2 linked regions of the Lonchura striata genome follow. The protein of the gene in region 2 purifies or fractionates together with the protein of the main gene of each other region. This does not show direct contact. Links are inferred from orthologs where the notes say so. Each region holds a gene or a part of one and is shown on either strand. Other genes may lie near its edges.

The links.
Region 1: the proteins of RAB7A (region 2) and ARL8B purify together in Homo sapiens (affinity purification with mass spectrometry; 4 studies listed by BioGRID and IntAct, with this or other methods). This does not show direct contact. The link is inferred for Lonchura striata from reciprocal best matches to the Homo sapiens genes RAB7A and ARL8B.

Annotation. Positions count from the first base shown.
Region 1 is NC_134614.1:23,100,823-23,111,839, reverse strand, and holds the start of ARL8B (ADP-ribosylation factor-like protein 8B), read right to left. Parts: upstream 4,664-11,017; 5' UTR 4,500-4,663; coding exon 4,377-4,499; intron 1-4,376. UniProt on the Homo sapiens protein: Small GTPase which cycles between active GTP-bound and inactive GDP-bound states.
Region 2 is NC_134614.1:12,811,348-12,821,975, forward strand, and holds the start of RAB7A (ras-related protein Rab-7a), read right to left. Parts: upstream 4,964-10,628; 5' UTR 4,851-4,963; intron 1-4,850.

The DNA.
Region 1 (11,017 bases), about 10 Mb from region 2:
TTAAAAAGCAGTGCAATTTTAGCATTCTATCAAGCTACCCCTACACTAAGCCTCCTCTGCAACACTCATAGTCTCAACCAAGCAGTGCCTCATAAATGGACAAATCAACTTTCTACAGTCCAGCTTCCTTCTTTAGGAAATACTTCAGTGTTCCAGCTACTTATGATCCTGGTCAGAACCCTGAACTCCAGTTTAGAAGTTTCAATCCCTCAAAGGCTTCCCAACAGCACTTCCAGGAATGATTCCTGCAAAACCAAAACAGTGGTGTATGACAAGAAAAGGCATTTTTATTTCCCCAGCCCTGACTTCAATTGAATATTTAAAAGGACATAGACTACTTAGCAAATATCTACCATAAGGAAGGTATATGTCTTTCTAGAAGTCAGTCATGTAGTAGCTCAGGACATGAAATGTTTCTGACAGTCAAGAAAGTGTCCTTATCCAGATGTTGCTACTTAAAGCTCTGCCATTGCTTACAAAGTGCTCTGCAGGAACTCAGCACTAAGGTGGAAAAAGGAGATTCTGATTTCAGTCACCTGCTTTAGCCCACCTAGGGTACAGCAAGCAGGGCCTCAAAGAAAGGGTCTGAGTCACCTTCCAGGAGCTTTATTAGCTAATGAAGTGATGCAATGCATTTCAAGAGATTTCTGCCATTAAGAAACACTTCAAGTTTTATCAGCCTTCTCCCTTAGCCACGGTGTGTATGAAGTGACAACACATGAGATTTATGGCCTACCTGAGTGGTTCAAAAGGCATTAAAACAGCAGTGGAGCTCTTTAAAGCAGTATTTTTCTGCCCATTTCTGCCACCACTTCTTTGGTGCAGCTTCTTCGAGCCAAAATTACTTCTAACAGTCATGAGAACAGAAGGAAGTTGCAGCTCCCAGCTGGCCAAACGAATCTTTCGTTGATAGGCACTTCAGGAATTGCCTCTCTCTAGAAACCAGTCTCATTCCAAAATTAAAAATCCAACCACACTAATTCAGGCTCTGACACAAATCCTGAAAAAGGACCTTATTTACCCTGTCACCACAAACAGGTTGTGTTTAGCTCTTCAACCTGATAAGTGCATCAGGAAAGTCCAACTTCTTCCCACTCCTCCAGATCTCTGCTCGCTGACTATCAGCTCAATGAGCTTCAGTGTTCCAGTGCCAAACACCTGGATCAAGGATCAACCTTCCAGGCATCAGGCAGAACTTCCACAGAACCCCCAGGCCAGGCACTCTTCCATGCACTGTGTGGAGCTGCAGGAGCACCCTGGGGGCAGGCTCAGCTTACCTGAGCCGTGTTTCAGCAGCCTCCCAGGGCCAGCAGCCCCTCGTGCTCCCCACAGCAGCACAGCCACGGCTCCCAGCTCCAGCTGCCGGGCTCAGGGAACGCCAGGAGCTGCAAACAACACCAGATCCTGCAGAGGCTGTAAATAATGGGCACTTCCAGGGCTCGGCTCGGGAGCCGACAATTCCAGATGCGATCCTGGGATGACATGCAGTTTCTCTGAATAAGAACCACAGGCCATCCACATTAGGGAAATTAGGACCAGGAAGAAATGATATCCTCCCTTGTGAGCAAGTTTACTCATGCACATGGAAAACTTATGCTTAATATCTAATTAGAGACAGTGACTAATGCAGAGCCTTAGAAAAGCAGAAGCTGCATTAGCTGAATCCAGCTCTAATGAGATTTCACTGCTAACGTTGGGTTTTAAACGTTCTAATCAAACTGAACACAGGAGGGTTTGGGTTGGAAGGGACGTTCAAGACAATCCAGTGCCACCCCCTATCATGGGCAGGGACACCTTCCACTATCCCAGAGTGCTCCAAGCCCTATCCAGGGACACTTCCAGGGACCCAGGGGCAGCTACAGGTGCTCTGGGAACCTGTGCCAGGGCCTGCCCACTCCTATGGGGAAGGATTTATCCCTAATATCTAATCTGACCTCTCCATCTCTCAGTTCAAATCCATTCCCTCTTGTCCTCTCTCCAGGCCCTTGTTTAGTCTGATTACAAATCAAGTGTTTGTTTACACTGGAGGAAAAAACGTGATCAAAACCCGCCACCAATCTAGAAAAGGATTATTCTAGAACTGGACTGCTTGCCTCTCGTGGCCTGTCCACTTCAGCAGCAGTCAGGCCTCATACCAAGCTTCCCTGTGGAACTGGTTGAGTTTTCCCTCTAGTTCCACATGCCTGATTTGATGGGAAGAGATTACATTAGACATTTATGTTGGATTAAACTCACTGCTGTGGAGACTGGCAACATCTCTTGCTTAGGCAGCACACAACCTTCTAGGCCACACCAAGTTCCTGGTGTGCACTCCAGCCTTTAGAGCTGTCCTACGGGACATCTTGCTGTGTCATTCCTTTCATTTCAGTTTGAGGAATCCCAACAGCCTCATCCACCCAAACCACTAAGTGGCCTGCAGAGAGCAGTTGTTCTTTTCCTGCACTCATTCCCAAATGCAGACTCTGAACCAAAGTCAGTCAAGGAAGCAAATAAGAAGACAGCTGTGCATGCCTTGGACTGCACTGCTCTAAAAAGTGATTTTGCACTGGCAACTGAAGCTTATGCCATTATTTTGTTTAAACCAATAATACAGACCTAGCCAAACCCCCTCCCTCTGGTTTTTCGTGTAAAGACTCACCGGATTTCCTAATTAAAAGCTTCAGAAATGTGACCTGATGCTTCCAAACTAAACCAGCTAAGGAGGCTGTGTCAGCATGCTCAACAGCTTCCTCCTTCCCCAGGGTTTTGCAAGGCTCCCTGAATGGCACTCACTCAGATAAATGCCTGGGTGTGATCCTAACATGTGGCTGAAACCTTGCAAGATTCAACCCCCGCAGAGGAGGTTGGAAACAGACTCCAGCTTTACTTAGGGAAACTTTTCCCACTGGAGACAACTTAGATGGACTCGACTGATGTGCAGCCACCGCAGCTCTGACTGCTGCACATACCCACAGTGAGCTTCACAGGTAACTCCCCAAACTCCTGCTGCTGCTACTATACAGAAGCAAAGTGGTTTTTTCCATCCCAAGGAGGACTCCAGAGCATGAAAAGCCTGCAGAGAGCCCCCAGCTGCAGAAACACTCCAAGCAGTACCAGCTCAGCAGCCATAGATCAAGGCTGAACAACAATTTCAGAGCTCCATTTCTACAAATCCAAGCCAAGATGTATTGGCAAAGTGTGAAAGAAAAGGCTTTGGGCTTTCCTGGGTTACTCCAGCAACTTTTAGCTGACAACTAGTCAGAGAAGTTGCCTTTAATGAAGTAACCCATTTTCCATGATTATCAGGAAGCCCACTGAGTGTTCACACCTGAGCTACTCAAGGGCTTGGGTATGGTTTGCCAAGGTGTTTGTCAATGTGCAAGGATGATGCGTAACTGCAAGAGAATGAAAATCCTTTTCCCAGACACTAACCCATTCAACTGGCACTTAAATATATACATTCTTTACAAGTATTCCATGGTGCTAAGGAGACAGCATCAAGAACCAAAAGAGGAGGCGATGGTGTGCTCAGTCTAAAGCTGGAGACATCAGCTTTCTCATTCGAGGTGCACTGCACCCAGGTCACTCACATTGCCTGAGAAACCCAAAGATACCCTGGCTGCCCATTTCAGGAGCTGCCAAAGTCCAGCTTGTCTCCTGCAATGTTTTCCATCACATACATCAGCACAGCAGGACACTGATGAAGCTGAACACGCCATTTAGGCAAAGCCACTCTTTATCTCGTTCAACAATGGAAAAGCTTCGTGTAGGAGTATTCCCACACCCTTCCTTTACCTGCTCCAGGCACATCACCAGATCAGCAGGCCCCAGCGCAGCACCTTGCTGCTGATGGGCTCGTGCTTGTGAGCTGTACTCCTTAGCTAAGTTGTACCTTAAGAGAAAGGACATTATTTGACACGGTTTTCAGCAATCGATAAGCAAATACTTGAGAGGAGAACCGTGAGTGGGTGCTGACACCTAAATGATTTAGAACTACCGAAAAGCAGTCAAAGGCAGGCGGCAGCTGAAGACACACAATGTTATCTCCACATCTGCTAACAGAGCCCCGCCACACCGAACACCCTGACTCAAAGGCGCCTTCAGAGCCCGCTGTGGGGCCGAGCGGGTCCCATTCCACACGAAGCTTCACAAAACCCGGGCAGCCCCCCGGAGAGAGCTCACAGATGCTCCCCGCGGCCCGGCCCCGCTCCATCCCCGCTCCATCCCCGCGGCCCGGCCCCGTTCCATCCCCCCGGCCCCGCTCCATCCCCGCTTTATCCCCGCGGCCCGGCCCGGCTCCATCCCCGCTCCATCCCCGCGGCCCGGCGCGGCCCGGCTCCATCCCCGCTCCGTCCACCCAGCCCCTGCCCGGCCCGGCCCGGCCCGGCCCCGCTCACCGCGATGACGTTGACGAAGGTGGTCTTGCCCGAGTACTGCAGCCCCACCAGGGTCAGCTCCATCTCCTCCTTCCAGAAGAGCGAGCGGAACCAGTCGAGCAGCCGGGACAGCAGCGCCAACATCGTGGCGGCGGGCGGGCGGGCCGGGCCGGGGGCAGTGCGGGGTGGGCCGGGCGATGGCTCCGGCGGGCCGGGACGCTGCGGGCCGGGCTGTGCCGAGCCGGGCTGTGCCGAGCCGGGCGCTGCTCTCGGCCGCTCCGGGACAGCCGCGCTCGTCCGGGCCCGGCTCCCCCCGCCGCCCGCACGTGACGCCGCGCTCACCGGCCCCGCCGGCCCCGCCCCGCGCCGCAGCGGCCCCTGGCGGCGGGAGGACCGGGCCGGGCCGGGCCGGGCCGGGCGGGCCGGGCCGCCATGCTGGGTGTGGTGAGGGGGTGACCCCAATCCCACCATGCTGGGTGCTGTGAGGGGGTGACCCCAATCCCGCCATGCTGGGTGTGGTGAGGGGTGACCCCAATCCCACCATGCTGGGTGTGGTGAGGGGTGACCCCAATCCCGCCATGCTGGGTGCTGTGAGGGGGTGACCCCAATCCCGCCATGCTGGGTGCTGTGAGGGGGTGACCCCAATCCCGCCATGCTGGGTGTGGTGAGGAAGGGTCTGACCCCCCAATCCCGCCATGCTGGGTGCTGTGAGGGGGTGACCCCAATCCCGCCATGCTGGCTGTGGTGAGGGGGGTGACCCCAATCCCGCCATGCTGGGTGTGGTGAGGGGTGACCCCAATCCCGCCATGCTGGGTGTGGTGAGGAAGGGTCTGACCCCCCAATCCCGCCATGCTGGGTGTGGTGAGGGGTGTCCCCCAATCCCGCCATGCTGGGTGCGGTGAGGGGTGACCCCAATCCCGCCATGCTGGGTGCGGTGAGGGTGTCCCCCCAATCCCACCATACTGGGTGTGGTGAGGGGTGTCCCCCCAATCCCGCCATACTGGGTGTGGTGAGGGGGGTCCCCAATCCCTCCATGCTGGGTGTGGTGAGGGTGACACCCCCAATCCCACCATGCTGGGTGCGATGAGGGGGTGTGAACCCAATCCTGCCATGCTGGGTGTGGTGAGGGGGGTAACCCCAATCCCACCATGCTGGGTGAGGTGTGTCCCCCCAGTCCCACCATTTTGGGTATGGTGAGGAGGGGTCTGTCACCCCCAGTCCCACCATGCTGTGTGTGGTGACAATGAATGAAGAGTTCTAAATCAAGTTCTAAATCACACAGAAAAATTACATTTCCGAGCCAGAAAAAATGGGTGTCACAAATCTACTCTTCAGAACAGAGTAAAAGAGGTGTAAACCAACAGTTGGAATGGGATTGTGGAAGGGGGCATGACGGTCTGGGGGACGTGGATCTCATCGGGAGGATGCCCACACCCAGAGCAGCCCTTGCTCTGCCGGCCTGAGATCTGCACTAATTGCTCTCTGCCCACAGAGCTTGCACAGGAGGAGCACGGAGTGCTGCACGCACGGAATAAATCCCATTTCACCCCTGCTCAGGCTCACGGGGCTGGGGAAGGCGCTGCCCTCAAACGCCACGGCTCTGCCACACCAAAATCAGCGATTCCCAGCGCCCGGCGGCAGGGAAGGCGCTTGTGCTTTTCCACCCCAAAACACGGCTTTCCTTTGTAGCCATTCAAAAAAGCCAACTAATCTACCCCTTCCAATTAAGCTGAGATACGAACTGCACTTTGAAAGTTCTTAATCCATCCTCTGCCTCATTAACTCAGAAAATTTCACCCCCATGGTTGGCCCTATCAGAGAGGACGGAACACCTGGCACCAGTTAGTTCTAATAACGAGCTGAGCTGTGCAGATTTCGGAGCCTGTCGTTATATGAGAAAATAAGACGGCTCCTCTCAGAACAGAATATTTTACTGGACATTCCTTTAATTTGTCTCTGGCTGACAACTCCTCCCACAGCCGAAGGAGCTAATTGATTTGATGAGTTCCAGGCGCCCGCTGTGTGTGTGGCACCTGCCCTGCTGCCCAGCCAAAATCGACAATATCGCTCTGGGATTCGCCTTTCCTCCTCTGAGGAGGCAAACACACGTGCCCTGTTAGTGCCCTCAGCTCGTCTGGGTGCTGGTTTTCTCCCAGGGGTTCAGCTGGGTTATAAAATGTTATCATATAAAATTATGCACATTTTAATCTGATTATATATATATTTGTGTGGTGTATATTTTATATTGATGATACTTATTATGTTATTTATAAATATATAATATTTATTAAATAGATTATGTTTTGATTTAATTTAATTTAACTATATTTAATTTAATAATATACATGATGTAAAATGTAATAATAAAATAATAAAATAATATTAAATAAGAAATAAAAATAATAAAAATTAAAAATAAATAAAACACTAAATATAAAATAAAAATAATGAAGGTATTATTTAACATATAAAACATACAATTATGTAAATTTAAATTTATAATATATTTATATTGTATATATTTAATATATATTATATTTATTATATTAATTATAAATATATATTTATAAATATATATTTTTAATTAAATTATATAAATTATGTTAAATGCAATAGTAAAAATATAAAATGTTATAATATAAAATAATGTAAATTTTTATTTTATCATGTAGGTAATATATTTCTATATTGTGTTTATATAATGTATAATATTGATGCTATTATTTATAATATATCATATTTATAAAATAAATAATATTTTCATTTAATAATGTAAAATGTAATAATGAAAAATATTATAAAATGAGGCTGTGGGTGCCTCCCAGGTCAGGATCCTCCTTGTGGAGGGAGGGAGAAGCTCTTGGCTCTGGGGAATCTGAGCCTGTGAGGACAAACGGGAGCCTCACTCCGCAGTGCCAGCAGGCAGCTGGGGGCTCTTTCCAGCCCTGCTCTTTCAAGGCTCACTTAAAATAATATCGAAAGAAAGAGGCAGATGATAGCAGGTACAAGTATGTGTCTTCTTGTGTTACAGACTCTTAAAGGAAAGGGTAAGATTAGTGCTCACCTCTACAGAGGTGCACATGAAATAACTGGTTCCTGAACCTGCCACAGCCTGTAACAGTCCTCCTGTCACTTTACACAGCATTTTTGGTACTGCCACAGTAGAAACAGTCATTAAAAAACCGAGGAGCAAAGGAAGGATTTCTCTGTGTCTTCCTCACTTCTTTCCTGAAAAAAGAAACGTGTCAGTTGTGCTGTTACTGCTCGAGCTGAACCAGAAGTATTCCTTTGCCATGAAGAGGGAGCCACCCCATGAAAATGAAACCATAACTTATTTCCCCAGAGCTGTTTGCACGCTGCCAGCATGCCATAAAATCCTGCCTCTTTCTGCAGCCCAGGAAAGCACCACAGTGGGGAGGAGAAGGGGAGAAGGGGAGCGAGGAGGCAGCCAGGGCAGGCTGATGCTGTTGAGGCAGGATGGGAACAAAAAGACTCTGACTCCAAAGGTTGCTGAGAGTAAAACTCCGATTTTATTCAAAATCCACCACTCTTTATACAGAGTTTCATTCAGACCAACTCCATTGATCCTGAAGTGAAAACAACCTACACCGTTGGTGCAGAGTGCTTGACGCACAGTGATAAAATTTAACTATAAACAATGCGAACAACAAGAGAAATAAAGAATTATTTACATTCTTTTCCAACAGGTTTCTGCCTGGTTAGAAACTCTCTGTTTCTCTCTGACAGTCTGAGAGCCACAGCAGGCAGCAGCGTGGCTCCTGGGTGAAAGCTGACGTGAGCAGCGGGATCTCATTTCCAGAGGCACGGGATCGCAGTGCGCCGGGATGGTCTGAATGCAGCTCAGAGGTTTCTCTAGGAGCACTGCCCGCAGCTGAGCCCAGGTGAGAATCCTCATCTCAAGGTGACCCGGTATCAGGTTCATCAGCAGGCACCACTTTTCACACACCTCCTTCACCCTGGAGTAGTCCCCAAGCCTGGAAACGTGGCAGCTTGGCGGCTGGCAAGCTGTGCGACTGTCTGTCGCTGCCAGGGAAAATATAAATGATGGCAGTTGCTTTAGCATTTCGATTTCGTAGGTGCTGGCAAACACTCCCCAGCATGAGCTGCTGCATGCAAGTGATGACCTTTAGGAATGCTGGCATCTCCCAGTGCTTAAGAAGCAGGAGCATGAATCAGCAGAAGGGAGCAAGGGGAAAAAAAATAAAAGATAGTTAAAAAGGAGCCTGCTGTTAGCAGTAAGTTAAATAAAATTCTCCTGGTCCTCCAGTCAGATTTATTAACAGTGACCTTGGCACTTGCAGAGCCCCCTGCACAAAAGCCAGGCCCACGCTTGCAGATTTAGTGCACAGTCAGGGCCTTGGCCAGCCCAGTCACCGCATTTCACCCTTTCTGTAATTTAGATTTTAAATCTACGAGGAAACAAACCCATTCTTCCAGCCTAAGCACAAACAGCCTCCAAGTGAGGCTCGGAAAGGCGGGCACAGAGCCCTGGGCTCCAGCTCTGCCCAGACACCTCTGTGACCAGACTCAAAGGAGCAGCACCTTGGGAAAGCCACAGCTGGAGGTCCGTGGTCAGACGGAGCCATGAGCTGCCCACCCAGGGACCATGCACATGGTGCCAGGCCAGGGGAGGCATTTTCTGCAGCCTCTGCTTTGAGGCAGAGCTCCCTCCCAGCTGCCAGGCAATATCCAAACAGTGCTGCAGCCCCTTTCCTGACAAACCCAGTGCCCACAGTCCAGGCTGCCATGTGTGTTTCAGTCCCACCAAGTGTTTTGCAGCTCATGCCCATCAGCCGTGGTCCCTGGACACCACCTGGGCTGCAGAGGAGCTCTGAACCCAGCAGTACAGCGCTGAGCCTGTCTGTGCAATTCTGTTCAGCTCCAGCCAGGATGCTCTGCCTGCTGTGAGTCTCTGCCACATCACCAGGACCAGCCTGAGCCACGGCTCCGGGTGCTGCCCCTGCCTCACTCCTTCCCATACTGGGAAGAGGGACTGTGCCCAGCACAAATGAGACGTGTCCCAGTTTCTGCAGAGGATGTCCCCAGCAGGAGCTCTGTCATTGTGACAGGCATGGGATGAACCCCAGCAGAGCCCAGACTGGATGCTGCGATGCCCCAGGGAACCCGGGCCTCACTGGTGTTCTTTGCACTTTAATTTCCCCTTTTCCTCTCAAGTTTTCTCCTTGGCCAGGGGCTCTGCTGCCTTTGCTGCGATTTTCCAGCAGAGGGGGATGCAGCCTCACCAAAGCCGTCCTCCTTTCCTGAAGCATTTGTGTCCTCACCTCCATCCTCACCCTCACCCTGCCCTGGCAGGGCTCCCTGCACAGCGCAGCCCCCTGTGCCATCGCCCACACCCAGCCCTCCCCTGGCACATGGGCACCGCAGGGTCCTGCAAATCTTCCTCTCTATTTTTGGGAATAAATCCAAAGCGAGGGATGTTATCAGCAATGAGCTGCTCCCAAGAGATGGAGAGCAAGAGAGGAACAGCAAACCCAAGCCCCAGCCTGCCCGAAGGGAACATCTCTGGGCAGTTGTCCCCAGAGGTGTCACAGCTGTCACCACACTCTCACCTTGTACCAAAGGAGCATCCAATTTGCCCCAGCTGTGAGGGGCAAATCCCAGGTGGTGCCTTTGCCTTTAGTGGGGAAGAAGGAGCACAGCTACAGGTACAAAGAGGCTCCCGTGAGCCCAGCCAGCTGAGCTGCACTCATTGACACCAGCCAAACTCACAATCTGTCAGCTGCACTCATTGACACCAGCCAAACTCACAACCTGTTGCCTCAGCACCTGGTGAGAGTCCTGAACTGAGCAGGGGGACCTCCGTGTACATCAGTGCTGAAATCAGGAGCACAGGGAGCACCCAGCCCACTCTGCAGTCTCCCTTGCACTGGATTTTGGGTGCTCTGCTTGTCTGCATTGTCCTTTGTCATCTCCTCTGGAAGTCACCTTCCCTGCTGGCATTTCACGGAGCGGGGCTGGACACCTCACACCATCATGTCAGAGCTGTGCTTCAAGGTTATTTCCTATCAAACGCTCCTCTTCCAGCCATCCAGCTATTTTCTCCTTGGCTAAATCATCTGAAAATAGACTGCAGCCATCCTAGTTCTTCCTGCTTTGTATGCATGAGCAGGAAGGGGAATTTAGGATTTTGCTGTAATGCCATACACAAAAGCCTGCTGGAGAGCATCACTTTGATTAGCTTTTATTATTATACCCAAGAAAACAGAAAAGAATAAGAATAAGGGAGAGCCCAGCATGTGTCTGCTGTGCCTTGCTGCTTCAAGGCTGCTCAGAAAATCTGCCTGGTTGCTCGGGGCCTTCATCAGGAGCATATTTGTGAATATCCAAAAAATGGCTTGGGTTTTATCCTCTTAGTAATAAGGGAGAGAAGGGCAAGAGCACTGTAATGATTTGCTCTCTAGACCATCCCAAAATCTGGGCTCTGGCAATAAAGCAGCCTGACCCCGAGGCCCCCCCTTTCACTTGGTCACCTGCAGGCAGGTGAACCTTTCCAATCCCCCACCACACCACACAGGACACAGCAAAGCTTCCCAACTGCAAGCAAAGGCATCCCAGCTCCTGGAAGTCTGAGACGGAAAACTTGATTTAGATCTGGGAATTAAATTAGCAAAAGGGATAAA
Region 2 (10,628 bases):
GTTGTAATCTAAGAACTACACCTTGATCTGTGAGCAGAACTCTTGATCCTACACACACTCAATACTATGCTAATGTGGTTTGCAGAGCAGGAAGGACAAGTAATTCAGTACTAGGATGGGAGTGCAATAGGTAGCTTGCCATGACAGCTGAGTCGGTGACTAACAAGGAATTTGTACTGTGGATACTCCGTTTCACACTCATACTGCATACCCTCATACCTCATGCACATATCCTGCATCAATACTTTACCACTTCACCTATTCTCTTGATGAAACTCCACAAAGGTCCAATGAAAACCTCACTTGCATGGTGAGGTTAAGAGAACTCTGCGGGCAAATGGCATCTTGTTAGGCAGGGGAAAAGGTTCAGGCCCAGGCATGTCTCAACTAAAACCCTCTCACTGCTCATGCTCGAGACAATGCCACCACTGTGCCAGTTTGGACTCCAGATATCATTATCCATGTCTGGGAGCCGAGTGACTCAGCCCACTCGAGGGAGACAAGCACCAGACAGGTTACTTTGAAGAGGATTCTGCTTCCAGCTGGAAAGAGTTCAAGGGCTCAGCACAGACTTGTTAGATAAACTGGTAGCCCAGTAACCAAGGTCCAGGTACTCCAGGCAGGTTGGCTCTGAAGGCAGCTCCAGTTACTGGTCTCCACTTTTGTCTACCGCTTCACTAGTCCACCTTGTCTCTCAAACAACCAAAGTTACAGTATATAGGACAGACTCAAGAAAAATATTAGGTTTTTAAATTGACATTAAGAGGATCTACTAAATTTCATTTAACAATTTCTGCTTGAAACTCATGCAAGTTAGACACAATTAGTCACCTTAAATTGTCATTTTAAGTGGTTATGCAGAAGAAAGAGCAAATCAGTCACTGTATCAAGTATCTTTAAATCATACAGATAGAAATCTGTGCCACAGGTTTACACTTCAATCCCATCTCAAAGGCAGTGCACCCCATCCTGAAGCTTCACTGCCCTATGTAGACAGCTATGGCCTCAATAACAGGTTTCCTGGCAGAGAAGTCAAGGCGACTGGAGATAAGCTGCAAATCAACACACTTCAATGGCCTTGATGAGCCTGCCTCCCCTCCCAGGGTCACTGACCATGAGGTAGCAGCAGCCGTGTTCCAAAGCTTCTCCCACAGCCAGAGCGCTGGAGGAGGAGCAGCCTCCAGGAGCAGCGCTCGCAGCAGCGATGACATCACCAGGGCACATCTCTCCAACACAAAATGCAGCAGCACGCTGGGCTCCAGAGCTGCATCCTACCAACAGACAGCAACAAGCACACCAGGAGCCAGAGGGGAACCGAGTGACACAGGGATATCCCTTCAGCACCTGCTATTTCTGAGCAGCACGTGTGCAGCTCCTGACCTTGGACGCTCATTTGCGAGCTTTATTCAAGGTACATTTAAAGAGAAATGGGACCTTCAATCGAGCCCCTCACTGCACAAATAAGCATGGTGTACCAACTATTGTCATTCAAGTAATTATCTATATCTAATTCAGTTTTGAGATGCACAGCTCGTGTTTGGATTGATGCTGCAGAGAATGACACTTTTATCCTCACAATCTCCGGTCACAGCTATATCTGAAGGCAGACTGTTACACAGCAACTACAAAATATCATTTTAGGAAGCTGCAAAGGGAAGCCAACTCAACACTAACTCATCAGGCAATTAAAATTGCAATTAGCAAGACAATGCTGTGCAAGGCACAAGAATGAAGTACTTCAGCATCTGAAAGATGCAAGATTGCTGTCAGACAAGCAGCACATGTGTCCAACCAAGTTCATCATTTAGGTAAGGTCTTAGCTGGACTCCCTTCTGTGGAGGCACCAATCTTTAAATTACTTTACAACTCTGTGAGGGAATGTTAGGTACATCTGGGCCCAGTAACAGGGACTTCAGAGCAGGTCAGGTCACAGCCAAGGAGAAGCCCAGAAGACACAAGGAAACATGGACACGTGCAAGGTGAGAGTCCTGTGTTTGTTTCACAAAGGGTCAGTTTACTTCAGTCACTAACGAAATCGCTGCATTCTGAAGGCAAGGACATGCAACAATAAGTACTTGTGAGCCCACATCATCCAACAGTTTCAGAGAATACATCTAAGTGCCCTATTGCATAGCCCTTATTTTCAAGCCAGGTACCTGCAAACCTTCTCTCACAATGCAGCATTAAAAAACACACCCTAACCAAGCATAGCCAATGTTGTTTACAGCCAAATGTTAAGTTCTGCATAAAACAGTCTCATTTTCACACAGAAGTCAGACCAAAATCCCATATATGTTAGAGACAGAACTATTTATAGTTTTGCACAGATGGTTTGATGGCAATTGTTATGTTTCCTCAAGGACAAGCTTTGCCAGAGATTTGCTCCAACAGGTACTTCTCACAACCATCCAACACAAGTATCCTAAAACATGAGCTTTAAGAAAGTGCTGCAGAAAATAAATCTGGTAACCCTCCTGCTCACAAGCCTTCATTTTGGTTAGCAAACTAAGCAAAGTCATATCTCTCCCAGGTCACTTCAGAGCAGAGCTTGTATATTTTACACTTTCAGTTGAGGATCTATCAATCTTCTAACATGTCTGTGCTGCTCAGAAAGTTGGATTCCCTGGCTTTGACAGGAGGGCCAGGATGCCTGTAGTGAAAACTCTGCCACACAGTTATTTAAATTCTTAACTTGTCACCCTGAAGGTACAACTCGGGGTGTCCTGTTTCCCACCTCTTCACTCTGGTGACCAGTGACAGGATTAAGAAAAGAACATGAAGCTTTGTCAAAGCAGGTTTAGGCTGGCTGTAGGGAAAAAGTTCTTCACCGAAAGGGTGGCTGGGCACTGGAACAGGCTCCCCAGGGAAATGGCCATGGCCCCAAGCCTGCCAGAGCTCAAGAGCACTTGAACACTCTTAGGCACATGTGGGGGTGTCCTGTACAGGGCCAGGAATTGAACTTCTATGATCCCTATGTGTCCCTTCCAACTTGGAATAGTCTGTGATTCTGTGCTGAGCTATTATGAGGGTATTTGAGTTTGAGGACAGGGACCACTGCATGACACCACAGGAAAGAAGAACATTTAACACAGCTACTCCCATCTTATACTTCACACTACATGCTGGGAGAGCAAGAAACTGCTATGAGATTTCAGAAGTCTTCATTATTGAGGGGTCAGATTAGCCCCATAACAGCTTTTCTACACCAGACGTAGGGTAGTAACATAACAGCACAAAGAATAAAGAAAAAAATCCAAAACACACAAACATACACCCCAAATAAACAAATAAGGCAATGCTGTAAAGTTAACAGTACTAGAGCTGCTTTAATTCTGAGGACTCAGGCCAGGCAGGCATGGTGGGTCCACTCATTAGTGCATGGAGGGCAAGTCATGTGTTCAGTCAGCTGTTGGGAGTCACAAGGGAGAGGGGGAAAGAAAAGTATACTTGTTCTTCCCGAGTAAGTACAGCAACGAAGCCTTGATTATTTAACAAGGAATATTCAAATTACTCCACCCACTTTAACCTCAAATTCAGCTCCTGAGAGAGCAGGGTACACTGACTCCAGCAGCCTGGTTCTACTGGAACCAGAGCCAGGCTGCAGCTGCTATTCACACGCCATTGGTACCACCACAGCCTTCAAGTCACAGCCAGCCAAAACACTGTGGCACAGCTACTTATGTACCATTCCCCTAAAAAGAGAATCTTCCACTTCCCCAAACCCAATACCCACATGGATACAGACTGTTCGGCATAGGCCAACGCTGGCCAGCCAGTGACAAGTACTGAAAGCTTTAAGGTTCCATGCTGGCAAGTGTCAGACAAAGAACAGCTTGCTTACAGCTGTGGGGGGGGGACTTCATTCTGTCATGTGTTCTCAGTTTACATATAAAAATCTCATACACACAGACCACAACAGCTCTGCTTATCAGCAAACATTTGTAGCTTTCCAGGAGATAATGCTGAAATTTCCAGCTTTGAGAACAAAAGGCGGAGAGTACTAGGTGAGACACACATTTTGATGCTGAGGTTACCTATCCTACTTCAGATTAAGACAGCCGTTTTTACAACTAAAATAAGCCCTCTATTTACAGGGAGTGCAACTGTCTTAAGTACAACCACCAGGCATTTCCATGTTTATTAGTCTCTCTCTATATATAGGGAAACTAATAATGTATCTATCACTTAATTTACCTTATTACACACTTACAGACAAAAGCACTTCTAACGTCCACTCTAATAGTTCTTAGAACTGACTCAGGCTTTACACACACCGACAGCTACTTTCGCAATAACTGCCAGTGTCCTCGGCCACCTCTTTGGCCAGTTTAATTGCTCCCGGGGTGCCGGGTCATGCTAAAAGCGCTCCCCGCCGACCCCCCGAGCAGCGTTTCACCGTCCCCCCGCGGCCCCGGCCCTCCTTCGGCCGCCGGCCGCCCCGAACCCTCCCGAGGAGCCGGAGCGGCTCCGCACGCCGCAGACAAAGCGCTCCCTCCCCGGGAGGCACCGCTCGGGCCTCCCCAAGCCTCCCGGCACAGCGGGCTCCACAAAGGCCGGGCGGAACGCGCGTCCTGGGAGCGGCCCTCGGGGAGGAGCCCCGTCCCGGGGAGAGCCCCCCGTATCGTCCCGGGGCAGCGCCGGGCCCGGCTCCAGGCGGCGCGGCCGCCTGAGCCCGCCTCGGGGCGGGCAAACCAGCCGGGCCCCGGTGCAAAGCCGGCCGGGAGCACCGAGACAGCGCCGCCTCCGCCGCGGCCCCCCGGTGCCGGGGAGGGGCCGCCAGCGGCTGCCCCGGCCCGGGGCGAGGCCGCCCCCGCAGCCCCGCGGGCAGCGCGCGCGGCCGCCGGGCTCACCTGGTGCTGCCGCCGCGGCCCGACCCCGATCGCTGCGCCCCCCGCCCGCCTCGTCGGCTTTAATGGGCCCCGCCGCCTCCCGCGCTCGCTTCCGCCTCCCCGACGAGTTCCGCTCACGGGGCCGCGGCGTCACCGCGCCGCCCCCACGTCACCGGGCCCGCCCGCATGGCCGGCGCCGGGCCGGCTCTGGGCGGGGGGAGTGCGGCGGTACCGCCGGGCCGGCTCTGGGCGGGGGGAGTGCGGCGGTACCGCCGGGCCGGCTCTGGGCGGGGGGAGTGCGGCGGTACCGCCGGGCCGGTCCGTGCAGGGGGAATGTGCTGGTGCCGCCGGGCCGGTCCGTGCAGGGTGAATGTGCTGGTACCGCCGGGCCGGGTCCGTGCAGGGTGAATGCGGCGGTACCGGCGGTCCGGTCCGTGCAGGGTGAATGTGCTGGTACCGCCGGTCCGGTCCGTGCAGGCGGAATGTGCTGGTACCGCCGGGCCGGTCCGTGCAGGGGGAATGCGGCGGTACCGCCGGTCCGGTCCGTGCAGGGGGAATGCGGCGGTACCGCCGGTCCGGTCCGTGCAGGCGGAATGTGCTGGTACCGCCGGGCCGCACGCACGGCAGCGCTGCGCTGGGACCTGCCTGCCCCGCCGGCTGCCAGCGCAGCAGGGCAGCGAACACCGCACCCTGCGCTGAGGGGAGGCGGGAGGGCCAAAGAAGCCTTTGTGCTTTCGGAAATAAACGATGGGGACACACAGGCACAAATCTGTTCTTCGCTGTCTTCTAAATAGCATTGAAGAGCTAGCGCGGAGTTCTCTGCAGTTGCATTCCTATGTGATAAAAACCCTCAGCTATTACTTAGACTACATTTTAGATTATATATGTTTAATATTTGTAATTTTTTACTCGCAGCTGTAATCTAAAGTGGGGTAGTAGCAACAGTGCTTGTCAGGAAAGAAGATAAAAGATGCCAGTTGAATATACATTTAGATTGATTAACCAGGCAATTGTCAGCACCAAGATCAATAGGCAGGCAAGTAAAATGGGGCCTTCTGAAGTCTCTGGACTTAAATCCATGGGATAATAACTATCCTGGTTGTATAAGTGAAATCCATATTTCTACTCTGTGTTGGCAGCAAGTTCATTTTGTTACTCAGCAATTACTTGAATATTATTATTCATCAAAGTCATGTGACTGCTGTGGGTTTAGTTAGCTTATGAACTCAGGAAAGACACCAAGGGGAAAAAAGTATTTTTAAATCTAGTGAAAGATAATAAAGGACCGAGGCAATATTCTAGCAATATTAAAAAGAAAATCACACAATGACAGACTTGTTGGGGTTGGAAGACACCTCTGGAGATCATCCCGCCCAGCCCCCTGCCAAGGCAGGGTCACCCAGAGCAGGTGACACAGGAACACGTCCAGGTGAGATCTGAATGTCTCCCGAGACTCCATGCCCTCCCTGAGCAGCTGTTCCATGGCTCTGCCACCCTCAGCCTAAAGAAATTCTTCCTCATGTTGAGGTGGAACTTCTTGTGTTTTGGTTTATGGCCTTTGCTCCTCGTCCTGTCACTGGGCACCACCAAAAAGAGTCTGGCACCATCCTTTTGGCACCTGCCTTTGAGATATTTGTATGGATTACAGACACCCTCTCAATCTTCAGACTACACAGGCCCAGCTGCCACAGTGTCTTCTCATAAGAGAGATGCTCCAGACTCCAGAGAAAGAAAAGTTTAGCAACAGTTTATTAGTGCTTTTAGGGTGCCCCATTAGATGCAAAGAGCTGCAGAAAAACGTGGTATTAGTTAAAATGCAGATTGGACAAAAGAGGAAAAGCCTTCAGCACATCAGCAGCTGGTGGAGCAGAGCACTGGCTTATCCCAGTCCATTGCCTTTAACAGGAGACCCATGTGCTGGGCTGTCATGGGCAGACTTTATTTGGCAAATTAGTGGATGTTCCTCAGCTCTCTTTTCCTAAAAGCTTCCTTTTAATTTTTTTTTTACACAATATGTAAAGCAAACAAGAACTGTGAGTGACATTTCCTCTTGTACTGCGGAGCAATCCTGGCACCACCTGTTACAGGCCTTTGTTATGCAGAATTTCACAAAAAAGTTCCCTGGGCCACTTGCTGTTGACAAGATGCTTTCCAGTCCTCGGTGGGAACACAGCATTTTCTTAAGCTGATGAGGCAAGATCCTGCTTGCTTCCAAGAACATACAGAGCACCAGTGGCAGGAGACAGGTCCCTGCTATCCAGGATGGGAGCTACATTCATAGTGGCAGAGTGGAAGTAGGAGGATGGTAGTAGCAAATGGAAGTATTGAGCTATGGCTCTTGATATATCCCCCTGTCCTCTCCCCATCAAAATAACCACGTGCCCTGGGAACACTGGAGTGTGCTGCAGCAAGCAGCCCAGCACACTGAGCTTTAGCAGCTTGTGAAGGAAACTAAAATGTCAAACTCCAATGAAAACCCATAAAAATGGATCAGTTTGAAAATCAGATGCCTATCATTCCCAATCACTAACACTGCTCTGAAGAAATCCATTCTCTATCCTTGAGGGGCATTCACATAGCTGACTGGATCTCTGAGGTTACAGTAACAGGTCTTTAGACATTTGCTGATGCAGAAACCTCAACCTATTTCATGCACTCGTTCCTCTAAACCAGGAAGTGAGAATGTCTCCTGCTTTGATTTTCTTCCTTTTGTGTCACCTAATCTCTATTTACTAATCTTCCTGATCCAATTAGAGACAATCAAACATTATGTGTCTTACACCACCTCTTTGCTTTTGTCCTTAGACCAAAAGAGCCCCTCCTTTTCCCTTCTAATTTCTCAGTGAGCACCGGTACAAAAACACCTGCAGAGAGGCCCAGGGAGGACATCACCTCAGCTGTGGCACCTATAGATCCCTGAGATGAGCTGAGAGCATCTGGGATTCCCCACAGTGCTTAATGTGTTCACCTCTTCTGTGGACACACAGCTACCCCACCCCTGGCCATCTGTGACATTAAAAGCTTGTGGAGAGTTCCCTTATTCCCCTGATACTTGTTCAGCTTATTTCAGCTCTTCAGAGTCCTGCAGCCTCTCCTCATTGCTGGGAACAACCTTTCTTTGCCTCTGTGCCCAGAAAGATGTAGCACAAGCCTAGAGTGGCTGTGCCTCAGTGAAAACTGACTGTCCAGAGCCTCCTGTGTGTGGCTGTCCTCTCTCAGCTGGCTGTGCAATGCTTTCCTTTGTCACTTTTGGCCTCCCAGAGCAGCTTTCTCAAATTATAATTATAATGATCTAACATACAAAAAGGGAACTAAAATGCAGTAAATACACAAAATTTTGCTTTGATGCTCCAAGTTTTGTCATGCTTTGATTTATCTTGTCTAAAGCAGATTCCCCCTGCTTCTGCTGGCATTTTGTTCATTAGAAATCTGCTAGTGCATGACCACCTATGCATTTCCACTGGCAAGAGCACAGACCCAGTCTTTTGCCTGTCCTGTCCCTAATCCCTGCCTGCAGTACAAACACTGTTCTGGTAATCTATTAATGCTTTCACCTTTGCAATCCTCTGATAGTTTCTATGGCATAGAGCAGCATCACATGAAAACAAAAAGGTAGCTCTGGACAAGACTTGATCACCAGATACCAACTATAGGAAGCAACTGCAGTCACTTTATCTCATGGCAGATCTCCAATCTGTGGTGCAGAGGACATTGCACTCAGTGCAGGGATTATGTCTGTGCTCACTGAGAAAATGCTGGAGGATGAACATCTTAAAGCCCTGATACAAGGTCTAAATGCAGCCATTGCAACCTGAGTCCCACAGGGAGGACAGGGCTGACCTGCAGGGATGCAAAGTGGGATTGTGCCAAGTCCCCTCACACCAGACAAAAGAGACACATAAAAAAATGGCTTTGGACTCTTTTGACAGCTTCCCCCTGTTCAATAGTGACAGCCACAAGACTGCTGCAGAGTTGTCATCTCTTTGATACTGGGAGGTGGCAATGCTGGCACCTTCCCTTAGATGCAAGCTCACTCCCTGAGATGAGAAGGTCCAAACACCTGCTCTGCCTTTAAGTCAGCCCCCTGCAGAGGCTGTGGGCAACATACAGATCACAGGGGATATCCTTAGACAAGTATTTGTGTTGGCCCTGGCAAGACAGGCAGGGAGAAAAAAGCCCGTGCTGCTGGTCATGATGTAAGGTGGGCACCACATGGCTTTGTGCTTACTGTAGTTATCTGGGCCTAGACTAGTGGAAACCAAAGCCCATGGAAATGTCTAGTGTCACATGGGAAGAGATGCTTCCATGGCCCAGACTTTGTGCTTGTGGCTAGAGAGGCACCCACTGTTTATAACCATAAACTCATGAGGCTGTCACACAAATGGTGACAATCACCTGAGCCTCTTGCAGGTCTCCCAGCTGCCCTGACTCCCCATCTACAGAGGTTCTCCAACACCACCATCACCTTTCCACTTTTACAGCCAGTCCTAAATACCAGATAATTATTTTTTTATAGCTGCATTGGGAGGTATGCCAGATAATTTCATATTATTGTTCTCATACTCAATTGGAGAAGATGATCCAGAGAGTGAAGTAACTTCCCTGAGGCCAGAGTGAGTCAGCTACTTTGTCAGATCCGTGTCCCTCTAAACACAGACATTTCTGAAAGGCATTTCAAACCATAGGAATGGTATAAAAATAGCTACAGAGAGAGGTGAACAGCCAGCACAGAACTGCACAGGCTTTTGCAGAACCGACCTTCCTTCAGGGATCAAGGTTTTTTATAAGGAGTGTGTTACCAAAGCAGCAGGTTCTATGAACTTTTACTTGCCAAGCACTGAAGCCTTCGCACTGAAGATCTGGTCAGCCTGAGAGCTCTTAGCTCATGCCATGAGTGGTTTTTAAGCCATGAGGGCAGGCAGGACAGGCCAATGGCTGGCAGGGCCTGGAATACTTTGCAAGTGCCACTGCTCTGCATGGGGCATTGTGCGATGGGGTGGACCAGGCACGTGAGCTCTGCATGCAGGTGTTTTCTGACAAAGGTGGCCATGTCATGCTGTTGTTGCACCCAGAATGAGTCATGGGACAGGAGTCTGGAGCCACATGACCTCTGTGAGTGGGACACTTTGTGGGACAGGTGACTTGCATGTTGCTTCTTCCTTAACAGTGAGTCAGTGCCAAAAGATGCCCCAAAGACAGCTCTCTGTGGGTAGGAACCAAACTGGCTGCAATGCAGCACACTCTGTGGAGTCTGCAGGTCCATCCTGGATCCCAAGAGACAGGGGTTGTCTGCAGAGACCTAGGAAGTTCCTCTGGGACCCTCCAGGGGAAGGACAGACATGTCCCACAGCAGGATTCCCACCTCAAACACCAGGCAAGGCACAGGGTGCTGCACATTAGCTTCAGATCTATCTGCTTCAGCTCTTTTCAAGTGACGGGTTTTCGCAATGCCCGCTTGTCTGCTCTAAAAGGAGAAGCAAATCCTGTATCAATGGTAACCACAAGAATCTGGAATAATTTTGAGTACATGTTTTCAAAGGCTGTGACAAAGATACTTAGCCTTGAAGGATAAGGGTGTGTGGGCAGTGAGGTTTACTTTGCTTTTATCTTGGACAACACTTTTCAATGCCTGGTATATCAGCAGCTGCATTTCTGACCCCAGGGAGTTATGACTCACTGTTTGCAAATCTCTGAGCCACCAAATTGAAGGTATGCCTCGCAAAGCGTGATCCTAAACTGAAATGCTTATAAGTGGGTGTTACAGCTCCAGTTATTCTGTTCCAGCACTCAGGGCTTGCT